Linked DNA regions of Oryctolagus cuniculus. The protein of the gene in region 1 interacts with the protein of each later gene in a biochemical or structural test. Links are inferred from orthologs where the notes say so. Each region holds a gene or a part of one and is shown on either strand. Other genes may lie near its edges.

Region 1 (7,350 bases):
TGACACATAAACAAGTTAAAATTGTATACAACTGGGCCAGCGCTGAGTCATAGTAAGTAAACACATGGCCTGGGACACCAACATACTGTATGGGCACCAGTTAATCTCGACTGCTCCACTTCAGATCCAGCTCCCTGTTTATGGTCAGGGAAAAGCAGCAGAAGATGGTCCAAATATTTGGGCCCTGTCACCCACATGGGAAACCAAGATGAAGCTCCTGACATCTTGACTTCGATCTGACCCAGCCCTGGCAATTGCAACCATGTGGGAATTGAACCAGCAGATGGACTCACTCTCTCTCTCTCTCTCTCTCTCTCTCTCTCTCTCTCTCCATATATATATATACACATATATATAAAATTCTGATTTTCAAATTTTTTGAAAAACTGTATATAATCATCTCAAAGAAAATAACAGAACTGATCTCTGAGAAATAAAATCATTTCACTTGCCCAAACTCATAGTCAACACGAAAGCAAATAAGTGTTGCAGATGATAAAACTTATTCATTACCAGGAAAGAGCAAAGTATTAAATTAATATTTAGTAGTTTCTGAATTTACAACAAATGACTAGAGGGAATGTTGACTCCCTAAAGAAAAATCTTTAAACACACAAATTATAGTCAAAGGAGCTTGTACTTACAGAAGTTGGAAAACTGAGGACCAACAGAAAAATACTGATCATCTTTGTCATTGTTTCAGTATTACCAATTCTAACTAAAATGATACAATTCATCCTTTACAAAAAAACTTGCACTTAACTTCCCAATTTTTCCCTCTTGTATCAGCCTATTTCAATGATATTTCTGAAAACATATTTGCAGAAAAAAAGTAATTTAACTGAAGACTTACGGGAAGATCAAGCCAACATAAAAAGAGTCTGAAGAACAAGGAAAAAGTACTCTGCTGTAAACTGTAAAGAGAAGCAGTCATAAAAAGCATCTCAAGTGTAAGTTTTCTCCTGTGATCTACATCTGAGAGTAGCTCAGCATCTTTCACTCCACAGACACAGGCACAGCAAGTGTATCGCCCATGCCATGCAAATGCTCACCCTCCACCTGCCTGCTCAGGCTATGGCTCCTGCTGCTGTAGTCGCCACCAGAGAAGGCAGCAGAGCTCAGAGGAGCAGTGGAGAAAGAAGAGAGGAACAGGCAATGTGTGTGTACATAATGAGTCTTCAAGAAGTTCTCCCAAAAATGCCTACTGGGAAAAACTTATGCATGCATTTCAAAAATGTTTGACACTGAAATAAACTTCTCTTTTCATTCAATTTTCCATGATCCTTTGTAGTGCCTTCCATGTGGATATGTACCTATGTGTCCATTTGTTCTCCAAAAAATTTAAAGTAATTTGCAAAATAACACCCAGTTTAACACAGTTCAAGATACAGATAAGAGGGTCAAGCTCTTGGCGGATACTCCCAGGTGGGAATTTAGAACCAAGTAGAGTGATAGGCAACAACTGCATGATTATTTTCTGCATGTCATTTGAGAGATGAACTACATAAATATTTCTGAAGATAGCTGCAGCACCTTTAAGCACTTCCTTCAGCCTTTGGACCGAGTGTCCACAGGAATCAAGGCATCACAAGGAGTAATCACAACACAGAATAACCTCTTCTTTCCATTTTGGAGTTACAGTCACAGAGCAGGGCTGTATCAAAGTCTTATTTTATAATTGCCAGACATTAAAATTAGTAAATATTATTCATCATGATAAAAGAGATCAATAGTCGATGAATTATTTTGATCATTAGAAATGTTTTAATTTTTTAAAAAAGGACTAAGTTTTCCAAACAGCCCTCTGAATACAGCCACTCATTCATTGGGGAAAAAAAGGATAAAAAAGTTCTAAGTGTTCTAAGTGTTACTGCAACATTTAAAAATCTGGGGAAACAAAAGATTAGCCACATTTTCTCACGATTAGCTCAAACATACACCTTCACATTCACCTACCTACCCAGTCCTCCGACTCAATCCATCCTTTTGACAAGTGATGATGCAAGAACGAATCACGTGAGAAATGTCAGCATTCTTGTATCCATCATTGTAACTAATCAATCAGGGACCAGTATCAGAATGACATGGGAGGTGGGGGGGCTACCTACCTACATAGAGAACACCCTCTTTTGTCTTCCCTGCAGCCTCTGCCACACCCTGTTTGGTTTTCTCAGCGGCAGCCACAACTCCCTCCTTGGCCTTTGAAAGCCCTTTCATGAACACATCCATGGCTAATGAATTCCTTTACACCACACTGGAAAACACAAAATACATGCTGAGTGAGAACTTTTTGGTAAAAGCAAGCAAAATTCAAACCATCCAAGCTAAAAACAAAACAGAAAACGAAAACACTAAAAATCTGTAGAAATCCCCAAAAGCGTGAAAACTCTTTGACGTGACCCCTCATTTCAACCACCTGGACAAAGCAGTCCGCCCCTCACTCCCACCCCAGCCCACTCCCCTTAAGCTTTAGCTTTAGGAATTTCTCCTCCCCCATCCATCTTGACTCATGCTGACCAGGGAGAGCATCTGAGCTGTTCTTACTGCATCTCAGAAGTGGAGTGGCAGGAACAGATGCGCCCTTCTTCCAACTTCCCAGGGTCCAAAGGGTGACCCTCTAAGTCAGCAGGAGGTTTAGAGGAAAGACCTCAGGAAAAGGACGGGAGCTGGGGGCCATGGCCAGGCGCATCCTTAAAATGAATCCCAGAAGAGGGGTAACAGGTTGATCCCAGGGGAGGGAAGAGCACTACTCACTCTGCATGTGGTTAAACCGCAAGACAACAAGGAAGGAGCCAGGGGACGCTCCTCTGAATCCACGGTGCCCTCCACCTCCGCCCTCTGCTATCTATCCGGAGCAGGCGCTGGTCTTCACCCGCTGGCAGCGTCCACACCCCTGCCAGCCACACTAAAGGGCGTTCTCAGCCGCACCGCACCCCCAAGCACACCTAGCGCCTGCACCTGTTAACCCCTTCCTACCTGTTGCCTTGTCCCCTCTGCACTTTATTTAGAAATTGGCCAAAGCTGTTTCCTCTCTTCTCGGGAAACAGCGAAAAAGCGGCCTACGGGGTGGCGGTTACCGTAAGAGAAGAAAAGTTGGATGCTCTTGCTCCACCCAGCACCCGGCGCTTCCGCGGGGAAAACGCACCCCGGAGAAGCCGCTGATTTCGCAGCCTTTGGGGAGGCCGGGGAGAGCTGGGTCAACATCCACTCCTGACGTGCACGCGAGGGACCTGCACGCCCCACCAAGAGCCTGGACACCGCGGTCCTGGGGTGCACCCTACCACCACCCCGCGTCCGCGGCGGCTCCTCTGCCTTCCCGGGTTTCTCCACGATTTCCAAAGCTGCCCGTTCAGAGCCACAGGTACTCACCCGAGAACTCTGCTTCTCCGGGACTCCGAGTCCTCCCCTCCCCCCCTTTCCCTTTAATTTAAACAAGTGCCAAATATTATTTAAACGGGCCAAGGGAGGGGACGGGAGCGCACAGGAAGGGCGGAGGCGGCGCCAAGAGACGGATGATCCCCAGAGGAGGCTGCCGTCAGCGCAAGCCAGCGACGGGAGGCGGGGGACGTGGGAGGCACACGCGCGAACCTCGCGTCCAATTGCCACTCCCCGTCCCCCGCACGGAGGATGGGGGAGGAAGAAAGCGAGGGTCGCGAGGGAAGGCGGGCGGAGGGCTGGAGGTAGGCGCAGGGCGGGGCTGCGTCCCGGGGCTGCCCAGAGGCCAAGCACACACCTCGCTGCGCGTCAGCACACACTCCCGCTCCGCCGTCGTCCCGCTCGCGGGCCCCTGGTCGCGGCCGTCCTCCTCCTCGCCGTCCTCCTCCACCTCCTCCTCCGGCGCCCGGATCTCCTCGACTCACCGCCCCCACGGCTGATTTGTCAGCGCCTCTCCCCGCCCCTCTCCCGCGCTCGCTGCGCTCCCGGCGCGTGCTCTCGGCTCTCGTGCTCCGTGGGGAGGGGGTGCGGGGCAGGTGGCCCCGGCCACTGCAGCCGGCCGCCTCGGCCTGGGAGGCGTAAAGGCGCGGGGCCCGGTGCTTCACCGCAGGCTCAGAGGCACCGGGAACGTGCGGACCTCCGGAGCGCTTTGGCTCGGGCTGAGGTCTCTTCTTTCCACCCGCTCCCTCGCTGTCTCCTTTCCTCTGGTTTCTCGGGGACCTCGCTCCCAGCAGAGCCTAACCCTGGGGCTTGGGGACCGAGGAATGGGCGTCGCAGCCGAGCCTGGCTCCGGGAGCGGACGGAGGAGACACGGGGCGCGGCGGGGGCGCCTGCACCTGCCCCGCGTCAGCCCGCTTCCTGACACTTAGCACACGGCCGAGGGGCGCCTCGTGCAGGGTCGCTTTTGTTCGAACATCCTCGAGGTTTTCTGTTCTCGCTTAACCCCGGGTGAGCCCGAAAGGGTCCCGCGGGCAGGCTGGGGACCACCGAGCAACAGATACAGGTTCGGGAGGCACGAGGGGACTCGTCAAATCGTCTCCCTACCAGGCTCTCACCATTTTCTTTTCCACCAATCAGCGGCTGCCAGAAGCTGATTTTTTTTTTTTCCCCATCTGTGAAGCAGGCAATAAATATTCCCCAGCCGTCGAAAGCGAGCGGCCCCAAGGCTTTTCGCTCTGGAAACGCGGCTTCGTTTCCAGACCCCAGGACAAGGTCTAGGAGGCAAATCCAACGTGGTGCACGTTGCCCTCCGAGCTGACACCCCCTCCCCTTACACGGCACACGCGAGAGAGCCCCCGCCGATTTCTGCGTCGTTTAACGCATTTTCACCCTTGTCAGTGCTGGGTGGAAAACAGCTGTTCCTAGATCACACCAGAAGGGAGAACCAGGCTCCCCCCCTCCAGCAGAAGGCCTTGCTTTCCTGGCCCGGTTCTTGGAGATGGGCTTAGCACGGAGGGGAGAACAAGGCTCTGCTGCCTCGTTTGTTCCTTGGTCTGTTTCTGTTTTTCTGCCGCTTGCACGCATCTGGGTTCTGAAATTTGAGTCAGATGTGCTTTCCACCTATAAAGCACAACTTGAAACCACAAGGGATGGAAGCTAACGACTACATAGAAAGGATAGAGATAGCTAAATATATAGATTGTTAGATAAAAGATGGATAGATGACAGGTGACAACCAATACATAAGAAGGGGAGGGGATGGTGGTAGAAAGAAATGATACAGATAGATTCCGAAGAAAAAAAAAATGTGAAAATTAGATCACAAGTATTTATCACTTAATAGATCCTCACACTCCTTGCCTCCCTTTTGAAAAACAGCCTTTGGACGATACAGCCGCTCATATTTTGTTTTCCTGGGATCAGAGGAAGAAAGCAGACACGGGAGCTAGTTTGCCATCTGATTTTAAGGCCGTGAGCAAGTTATGTCCTCCTGTTTACAGCTTTTCCTCCTGTAAATGAGGAGGTGAACTAGATGATCCCTCTCTTTTCAGTTTTTTATTATGGAAAATTTTCAGACATGTACAGAAGTAGAATCAAAGACTCTCACATGAGTATCACCCAACTTTCACAATGTTTCAATGCCTGCCTAATCATATCTAACTATAAACACTCCACTTTATCGCTACCAATCTTCATTTTTAAGTAAATTCCAAGTTTTATATGCATATTTTATCTGTAAACATTTCAACATGGATTCACAAAATGTAAATTATGAAACAATAATCACCATAGCACTTGAGAATTTTTATTCTTGGTTATAATTTACATAGAGTAAATGCTCAGCTCTTAAGTGTCGCTATGTGTCCATTTTGAAAAATCTGCACTATTTGGAAAACCCAGAACATTTTCATCACCCCACAAAGGTCCCATGGACCCTTCTTAGGTGTGTACATTCTAACACTTCATCAAAATGGAATCATAAAGTATGAACTTTATTTCCTATTTGACTTCTCTCTTCTAGCATAGTATTTCTGAGACTCATTCATGCTGTTACATGAATCACTGGTTTGATTTTTTAATGCTTTTCATTACTGCTAATAATGCATTTTTCCACTGTGACCCACCACGACCACATGTCTCAACAGATATAAATAATTATGACAGTTATTTTTTAAAGATGTGTTTATTTAGTTGAAAGGCAGAGGTACACAGAGAGAAGAAGAGGCAGAGAGACAGAGAGGTCTTCCATCCCTTGGTTCACTCCCCAATTGGCCGCAACGGCTGGAGCTGCGCCGATCTGAAGCCAGGGGCCTCTTCTGGGTTTCCCACACTGGTGCAGGGGCCCAAGGACTTGGGCCATCTTCTGCTTTCCCAGGCCATAGCAGAGAGCTGGATGGGAAGTGGAGCAGCCAGGACTAGAACTGGTGCCCACATGGAATGCCGGCGCTTTAGGTCAGGGCGTTAACCCACCACACCACAGTGCTGGCCCCTGACAGTTATTTAATATGTGATTTTATATGACATATTTGTGGTTTACCAGGGACCTGGTCCTTTAAGATGGAGGGGTGAATGAAATGACAGTTATTTTAGGTGTCATGAGCAAATCAGTGATTTATTTTGGGGATGATTATGCATCTTATAACATATCATGATCCCATACTTTTATATAGTACCTATGTTTGGCAAAGGACTAAAATCCCGTGTCACTTAATCATAACAATTGGATAAGTTAAATTTTATATAACTTTTATAGGCAGAGAATCTGCTGGGGAGATAGACTGAAGTTAATTAGCTTTATGGTGGTAGAGCTGAGATGATCTAGCAGAGACTGTACCAGAAGGCACAATCATCTGAACTGCAGCTCATCCTTGAAGCCTCATAGATTGAGTGTGTACCATGGGGAAGAAGTGGTGGGACCCAGCTCTGTTAGAAATAACCTTTGAGTTTGGATATCACAATGGAAATCAAGGAAAATGTACACTATTATAAAGCAATATATTCAGATTTGCAACTTCACCTTCTCTGTGCCAGTACCCCACCACTCCCGTGTGAGATACGGGTATCCCAAATGATAGAGTGACCTAATCCTGATGTGAACATTTTCTTAATAATTACCATACATGTCCTTCATTTTCTCTTCAGTACATGAAATATCAGTATTTTACCCCACATTAGTAAATTATTTTATCCAGGTTTATTTCAGTAATTTCACTATAGATTAGCATTCAGTGAAATGTATGCTTTCCCTAGACTTAATTTTCTCTGTGAGATAACCAAATATTTAGTTATGTCCTGTGGTAAGCCTGTGCTATGGCAAAAACAGCAGAGCAGGAGCCAGCGTTGTGGCACAGTGGGTTAAAGCCCTGGCCTAAAGCGCAGGCATCCCATATGGGCGCTGGTTCTAGTCCCGGCTCCTCCCCTTCTGACCTAGCTCTCTGCTATGGCCTGGGATAGCAGTAGAAGATGGCCCAAGTC
Region 2 (7,346 bases), on another chromosome or scaffold:
CTTGGCCCAACAGACAAAGGGGAGCCGCCAACAGTACCAGCCCCATCTAACGTCTGTGCCTGATCAATCTGCCTTACTCACCGTGTGCACAATGCTTGCCCCTACTTCGAAGATCAAATGAGTGTGCAGCTCACACACTCCTGGGCTGCCCCAGCCTTCTAGCCCCAAAATCAAACATTTCACTGAAACGACTAGTTTCAGACAGGAAACCGTCCCCTTGGAGATGGCACTTTAGATCCCCAAGTCAAGGAATGATTTTCCAGTCCTACCAAGAAGCAGAGTTGCATTCCCAAGATAACATCCCGGCAGTCGGCCGCCCTTCTCTGTCCCAGAACTCACAACATTTCTTGTCCGACATGCGAAGACCGGCGGTTCGGTTGCTGCCGTGTTCCGAGGGAGACCCGAAGTGCCCGGACATGGTGGCTCTCCGGTAGGCGTCTGGAAGGAGGGGCAGGAAGACGGTCTTCAAAACAGTGCGGAGGGTCAGCTGGGTCGCAGGAAAGAACTCAGGGTCAAGAGTCAAGGCCAGCTCTCTCTCCCGCAGAGAGGAGCTGCCTGTCCTTGGGGAACCATGAGCCTCCTCCGTCTCCTATTTTCTCACTTACAAAGAGGGTGGTGCTAGAACCCTACGTGTATTGCTGACTTGGGAGTTTACCCTCATAGACACTTTTATCTCTTTCAATCCTAAGTAGAGCAGATGTTGCTACCATTATTACTTCTCTCCCATTTTACAGATTGAAAAACCGACGTTGTTCGATTTAAGTGGCTTGTCCAAGTTTCTTTACGACATCAGACTCCGGTTTTGAGGATCTAGGGCAGGAAGGCTGGGAACAGATCATTACCAAGAAGGCATTCTCAGGGCTGGCTCTGTGGCACAGCGGGTCAGGCCACAGGCTGGGACTCTCACATCCCAGAGAGCAGTGCTGGGTTCAGTTTCTCTTCAACTTCTGATTCCATTTCCTGCTAATGTGCATCCTGGCAGGCAGCAGGTGACGGCTTAAGCCCTTGGGCCCCTGCCACCCACAAAGGAGACCCAGACGGCCGGCTGGCCCAGCCCTGGCTGTTGCTGGCATTTGAGTAGTGAACCAGCAGATGGAAGATCTCTCTCTCTGCCTCTCAAGTACATGAAAATAAACATTTTTAAACAGAAAGTAACTTCAATCCAAAGGTTGATTCAGTACTTTCAAAAACTGAGAAGAGTGGGAAAATTTGAAACACGTTCCCTGGGCGAAAGCTGTCCCTGGACGGCCCTACACGTCGCTTCTCCTCTGAGTTCTCACCCTTCTGCCCGGCCCTGCAGCCTCTCCCCGCTTATCCGCTAGGATTCTAAGGGAGGAACACGGGAGGCAAGGGTGGTAAGTGACTTCCCCAAGGTCACCTGCAGAATAAGGGGTAAATCCTGGGGTAGGAAAGCCCAGAGCTCGCTCCCTAACCCAGCTTACACGGGGCCCGCGAGGGCAGAAGGTCCCACCCCTTCAGGGGCCGCGCATTATTCCTCCACGACCACACAAATCGTCCAAGCCGAGCCGCAGGTGCGGCTCCCAGGCCCTGGCCGCCCGCACTCCCCGAGACGGAGAGGCATTAACGCCCGGCACCTCATCCGGGTGCGTGCAGCCCCCCGCGGCCCGCCCTCCCAGCCCCTCCCAGGCGCCGGCAGCGGTGGCTCACCCCGCGATCTCTCCGGAGACCCCTGCCGGCTGCGGCCCCGGCGCTGCCCCGTAACTCGGGAGACTGGAGTCGTGGCTGGGGGCCCGGCCCCGAGTCCCCGGCGGGTCACGTGCCCGCTGGCCCCGCCCACCCGCGCGTCGGTCCTCACCTGGAGAGAACCACCGACCAACCGGGCGCCGGCGGATGCAGGGGGCGGGGCTCCAGGCGGAACCGCGGACCCTGGCCCCGAGGAAGGGTGAGACCAGCTCCGGAGTCTCCGGGCTCCCGGGCGGGCTGCATCGTTGCTTGGTAACCAACAGGGCTGGGGGCGGGGCCCACAGAAAGCCTGACTGTTCTGTAAAAACTCTCGCGAGACTGAACCGCGCCAGCCGGCGTCCGCAGAGGTTAACGCTTTCATCCCTGAGTCCCAGGCGGACAGCGTGGGATCCGCACACCCGAGCGAAAGCTCTAAGAGGCGCCGGGAGTCGGCGTCCACCGTGCTCTTGAGGGTCGCGCCCCGAGTGTTCGCGTGCCGCTCCCCGTGGGTCAGACCGTGTACCCTAACGAGGGACCGGGGGCTTCCCGGACCCAGCCATGCGCCCGGCTGGACTTCACCCACCGTCCCGCCCCCGCCCCGCCCCGCCCACGCGACAGCATCTGTGACGGTCGTGTTGAAGGCCCGAGGCGCTCCACGGCACCGGCAGGGGCCTGGGTGGGAAAGGTGTTTGCAGAGAGCAGGGGCTCCTCGTGGCCACTCGGAGGCGGCGGCGCTGGCGGTGAGTTTGCACGTCCCAGGGGCCTGCCCTCGTCCCGCTGATGCTGGAGGCTGTAGAGGAGGAGCCCTGCCGCTCTGGGTCCGGGCTGGATAAAGAGCAGTGCAAATGCACTTCTTGGGCTAGAGCTCAATCCCGGGGCGTCTCTACCCCCCCCCCCCACCCGGGAGCGAAGACATTCTCCCAAACAGCTCGAACGTGTAGCTATCTCCCCTTTCGGCGAGTGGCAGCGGCCCTCCCCGTGCCCCTGCGCTGTACGCCAGGCACAGCCCTGGGTTTTAGGCCTACAGCGTGGGGAAGGGCCACCTGACCCCGCACTGTCTCCTCGCCGTGACACCCAGCGGCGCCGCGGCTCCCACCGCGAGTCTCTCCGCGCCACCGCCGGCACCGAAGGCGGGGACGCGGCCGACTCGGGGTCTGTCCGCCCGGGAACTGCAGAGGCAGCTCGGGCCCCTCGCTCCTCCTCACACTGCGCCCCCCAGGCTGGGGCCGGCCGCCTGCTGCCGCCGGGGTGGGAGGGTCGGGCTTCCGGCCCCTCAGCCCCGGCGCGGGCGGCCACGAGCCTCCGATGGCGTCTGACAGCCCCGCTGACTCACTGGCCATTCCTAGCATTCCGAGCCGTGTCGGGCGGAGGCCCCGGCCGGCCTAATCACTGGCCGCCGACATTCCACCCGACTCCCTCCGGGAACTGCTTCCCCGCCCTCTTCCCGCGCGCTGTCCTTATAAGCCGCCGGCGCGGAGCGCGGCGAGGCCAGGGATGCTTTAGGGATACGGGGCGCATCCTCGTCCCTGCAACACCAGCGACCACTTTAAGGGAGTTCGCTCTCCTCCAAGGGCCGAGGCGGAAAGTGTCGCGAGAACTGTAGCCCGCGCCGACTTCTCGCGATGTTTGGCCCCGCGAAGGGTGGCCATTTTGGAGTCCACCCGGCGGCCGGTTGCCCCGGCGGCGTCTCGCCTCCTGCGGCCGCCACCAAGGCTGGCCCCGCGGGTGTCTGGCCTGTGGGCGGCCAGTCCGACACGATGTGGCGGCTGCGCTGCAAGGCCAAGGATGGCACCCATGTTTTGCAGGGGCTGTCCAGCCGAACCCGGGTGCGAGAACTCCAGGGCCAAATTGCCGCCATCACCGGGATCGCCCCCGGCGGTCAGCGAATCCTCGTCGGCTTTCCGCCCGAGTGCCTGGATCTCAGCGACGGGGACACCGTTCTGGGGGACTTGCCCATCCAATCAGGTAAGGGATCGGAGCTGGGACCAGCGGGAAGGCCTGAGGGGCGCGCGCGGGGACGGAGACCCAGGCAAGGCAGGTGGCTGGGGGCGCTGACGGAGGCCGGGCCAAGTGTCCGGCAGCTCCGTGCCTTTACACAGGGCTGGAAGAGAAGCCCAGAGCCCAGGAGTTCGCCCTCCCCAGCCTGCCTTCTGTGCTTCCCTGAAGCTAGCTCAGCCTTGTTTTCCCCGTGCATCCGCAAAAGTTGGAAAAGGTAGGGCCTGCCTCTCGGTCCCGAGCGCTCGTTCCCGGTGTCGCTCGTTGGCCAGCCGGTCTGAAGGGTCCGGGGTTATTCCTTTGGCTTTCCTGGTTCGTTTTTGCAGTCCCCCGCGTTGAATAGTTAAGTTTAACAGGTGCACGCCTCGTAGAGTTAGCTTGTAAACATCCACGGAGAGCTCTTTCAAGTCCTAACCGACAGTAATTATTTGTGTCCAGTGTTAAAACTTGAACATCAACGTTGTAATTAAAAGCTTTTTGTTCTTGGATCCGGGACCTTGTAAACACAAGCGGGGCGAGAGAGGCCAAGTTTCAGGAGGGCGAGAGCCCCCTAGCGGCCGGTCTAGGGAAAACACCCTCCGGACGAAGGCTTCGCAGGCAATTTTGTTTTAAATGTATCTTTTTAAGGAAGTGTGACGGTGTAGGCCTCCGGCTTCGTTTGCTTGGGGTGCAGCTTGAAGTCTGTTCTGTTTTCACCTTTGTGAACAGTCGGGGTCAGGTGTTTCTAGTGTTCCTAGGGGCAGCAGTGTTCTCCATCGTAACCCCAGCTTCTATTTGTAATTTACAGACTTGGCTAATCTCATCTGTCATTTCTCTGCAGTTCTGGATCTGTTTTATTTTTAACAGGCGATATGCTGATCGTTGAAGAAGACCAAACCAGGCCCAAAGCTTCACCTGCATTCTCAAAACACGGTGCTCCTAGCTATGTCAAGGAAACCTTGCCTGTGCTTTCCAGGACTGTGGTCCCAGCAGACAACTCCTGCCTCTTCACCAGCGTGTACTATGTGGTTGAAGGAGGCGTCCTGGATCCAGCTTGCGCCCCTGAGATGAGACGCCTCATAGCACAGATCGTAGCGAGCGATCCAGACTTCTACAGTGAGGCCATACTGGGAAAAACAAATCAAGAGTACTGTGACTGGATCAAAAGGGATGATACTTGGGGAGGAGCGATTGAAATCTCCATCTTGTCTAAATTTTACCAGTGTGAAATCTGTGTAGTGGATACACAGACGGTAAGAATCGATCGCTTCGGGGAAGACGCGGGGTATACCAAAAGGGTCCTGCTGATTTACGATGGCATCCACTACGACCCGCTGCAGCGAGACTTCCCGGATCCAGACACGCCGCCTCTGACCATCTTCTCCTCGAACGATGACATTGTCCTCGTACAAGCACTGGAACTAGCAGATGAAGCTAGAAGAAAGAGACAGTTTACCGACGTCAACCGCTTCACCCTGCGATGCATGGTGTGTCAGAAGGGGCTGACTGGACAGGCAGAGGCAAGAGAGCATGCCAAGGAGACAGGCCACACCAACTTTGGAGAAGTGTGATCTATGCATGATGAGGGTGGAAGCCTACTACCTCACAGATCCAGAAGGCTCTGGGTTTTCCAATAAGCTATTCCTGACCCTAAAGAACAAAGGACACAATGCTTGAACCACACCTTGAACTTGAAACCACTAAGACACTGAAATTCCTTGTTAAGATTAAAATTAGTGTGCAAGTTTACAGATGTGTGTCTACAGTGGTGATGCCTGCCCTCTTTCCACGGGGGTGACAGAACAGGTGGCCCCCCACCTGCTGGAGATTGAGTTTCAGTATTATAAACTAGCACGCAGCAGCTTTCACCTGTAGAAGAAGAGAACGCCACATTTCGAGTAATGTTGACAGCCTCTCATGAGGCCCCGGACGTGTACCAGTGTCTCCAGTAATTGAGTCCTTTTAACAACTGAGTGAGTTAATAGTTTCTAAATTATGAATTGATTTATCAAACGAAGATACTCAGAATTGTCAAAACTGATTTTATATTGCCATTTGGTAGACTTTATCAGTGTGTACTTAACCACTTCTGAGTACGTAACAAGCAATCTTTACAGGGATGAGTGCGTTCCTAGAGAATGTCGCTGACAGCAGGAGCGCCTGTGTCCTGCTGCGGATTTCTGGTGTGTGAAGTAGAATGTATGAGGAAAAGGTGCCTGAAGCAGCTCCCTGCGGCTTCCAAGGACGTCAGCCTCGTGTGTCAATGCACTTCCTGTGCTGGTCTTTGTCATGTTGGGTACAATTTTAAAATTAAGCAGGGTAATTTTTTTTTAATCAAAGTTCCTTGAAATTCCAGTATTTGATTTTTGCTTTCTTTACATGAAAATTTGGAGGGATGTAATTTTCTCAGCTTTTTGTCACGAGAACTTCCTCCAAAAAACATCTTCATCCAAAGTGAGAATGCTATGCTTCGGCTTGTGTTTTACAAGACTTTGCATACCTGAACAGTGTTTGGTGTTGTGCCAGCCCTGTCCCTCCACTACCACTCTTGAATAATTCCATATTTCTGCAAATTAGCACTTTGCTTAATCTGTGATCTTGTACTTTGAAACATTTTCAAAGTAATTGAGATAATGCTGTTAAATGAATTTGTTTCTCTTCCAAAACATGAAAGTTTTAAAACCCTTGCCTTATTCAGCTTTCTCTGACTTCTGCTTCTTCCTAGTTACGTAGATGTGCAGCCATTTGCTTGGCGGCCCGGTCCGCGAGGCATGCCCTCTGACACGTGGCTGCACTACGAGATCTTCCACATAAGATTTTCTACCTCTTTTCTTAATTCCTATGAAGATCAGGGATGCTAAGTTAGAGTTTGTTATGTATTATCTCACACCATGTGAAGAAGCTTAATGTTGTGAAGTTAGTTTTGATGAAGTATCTCTTAGGAAACCTATGGTATACTCTAAAGCACTTAATATCTCTTCAGCATATAGTCTCAGCAGATGTTTTTAGAATTGAGTTTTACTTTTAGCATTTACACTCGGTGAAGGTGACCGTGTAGAATTAAGGACCATGTGAACAATTTAGGGGAAAATACTTGAAGGAACAATTCACAACGAAGATTCAAATCATGAAATGAGGTTGCTGGAGTACCTCTTGAGTGCATATCTGTTTTAGGTATTATAAGTTATTATGGTCAATATAACTAAAAAGTGTTTCATTTTCTATTTTCTGAGCCTTAAAAATAGCGCTTGTGAGCTTACAATAATGTTTGGCAATCATGTTACATGTGAATGAATATGGTTGAAGATCTGTCCCTATCATCTGGTCTAGATGATTTTTGTATGATTTTTATTTTCCTCAAAAAAAGATGAAATTTAAAAATGTAATTTATGAATATGCCACCAGGTGACATTTATCTGATTGAGCTTTCTGCATCGTTATTCATTAAGCTGTCTTCCCTTTCTTTGCCGTTTCAGGAGCTACATTTGATATTTGCTGACTGAAATTTTAGACCTAGAAGTTTGTTCATGCAACAAATATTTATTGAGTATTTTATCATATTGCAGGCATGGTTTGATATGTTTCCCAACATAAATTTCTCACTTTAAAATAAATATTACCTACAATGGATTGATTCAACAAGTACAAAGGGAAGAAATGGAGCAAGGATATTCAACAGCAGTGACAGC

Evidence for each region.
Region 2: the proteins of SNCA (region 1) and YOD1 form a complex in vitro, tested with the Homo sapiens proteins (2 studies listed by BioGRID, with this or other methods). The link is inferred for Oryctolagus cuniculus from reciprocal best matches to the Homo sapiens genes SNCA and YOD1.

What each region holds. Positions count from the first base shown.
Region 1 is NC_091439.1:75,751,937-75,759,286, reverse strand, and holds the start of SNCA (alpha-synuclein), read right to left. Parts: upstream 4,462-7,350; 5' UTR 3,734-4,461; exon of another isoform or gene 2,977-3,733; intron 2,943-2,976; exon of another isoform or gene 2,545-2,942; intron 2,255-2,544; 5' UTR 2,230-2,254; coding exon 2,109-2,229; intron 1-2,108. UniProt on the Homo sapiens protein: Neuronal protein that plays several roles in synaptic activity such as regulation of synaptic vesicle trafficking and subsequent neurotransmitter release.
Region 2 is NC_091444.1:22,174,430-22,181,775, reverse strand, and holds the start of YOD1 (ubiquitin thioesterase OTU1), read left to right. Parts: upstream 1-3,305; coding exon 3,306-3,648; intron 3,649-4,524; coding exon 4,525-5,228; 3' UTR 5,229-7,346. Other genes in the region: PFKFB2 (6-phosphofructo-2-kinase/fructose-2,6-bisphosphatase 2), read right to left, coding at 340-487, 1,817-2,508, 3,017-3,032. UniProt on the Homo sapiens protein: Hydrolase that can remove conjugated ubiquitin from proteins and participates in endoplasmic reticulum-associated degradation (ERAD) for misfolded lumenal proteins.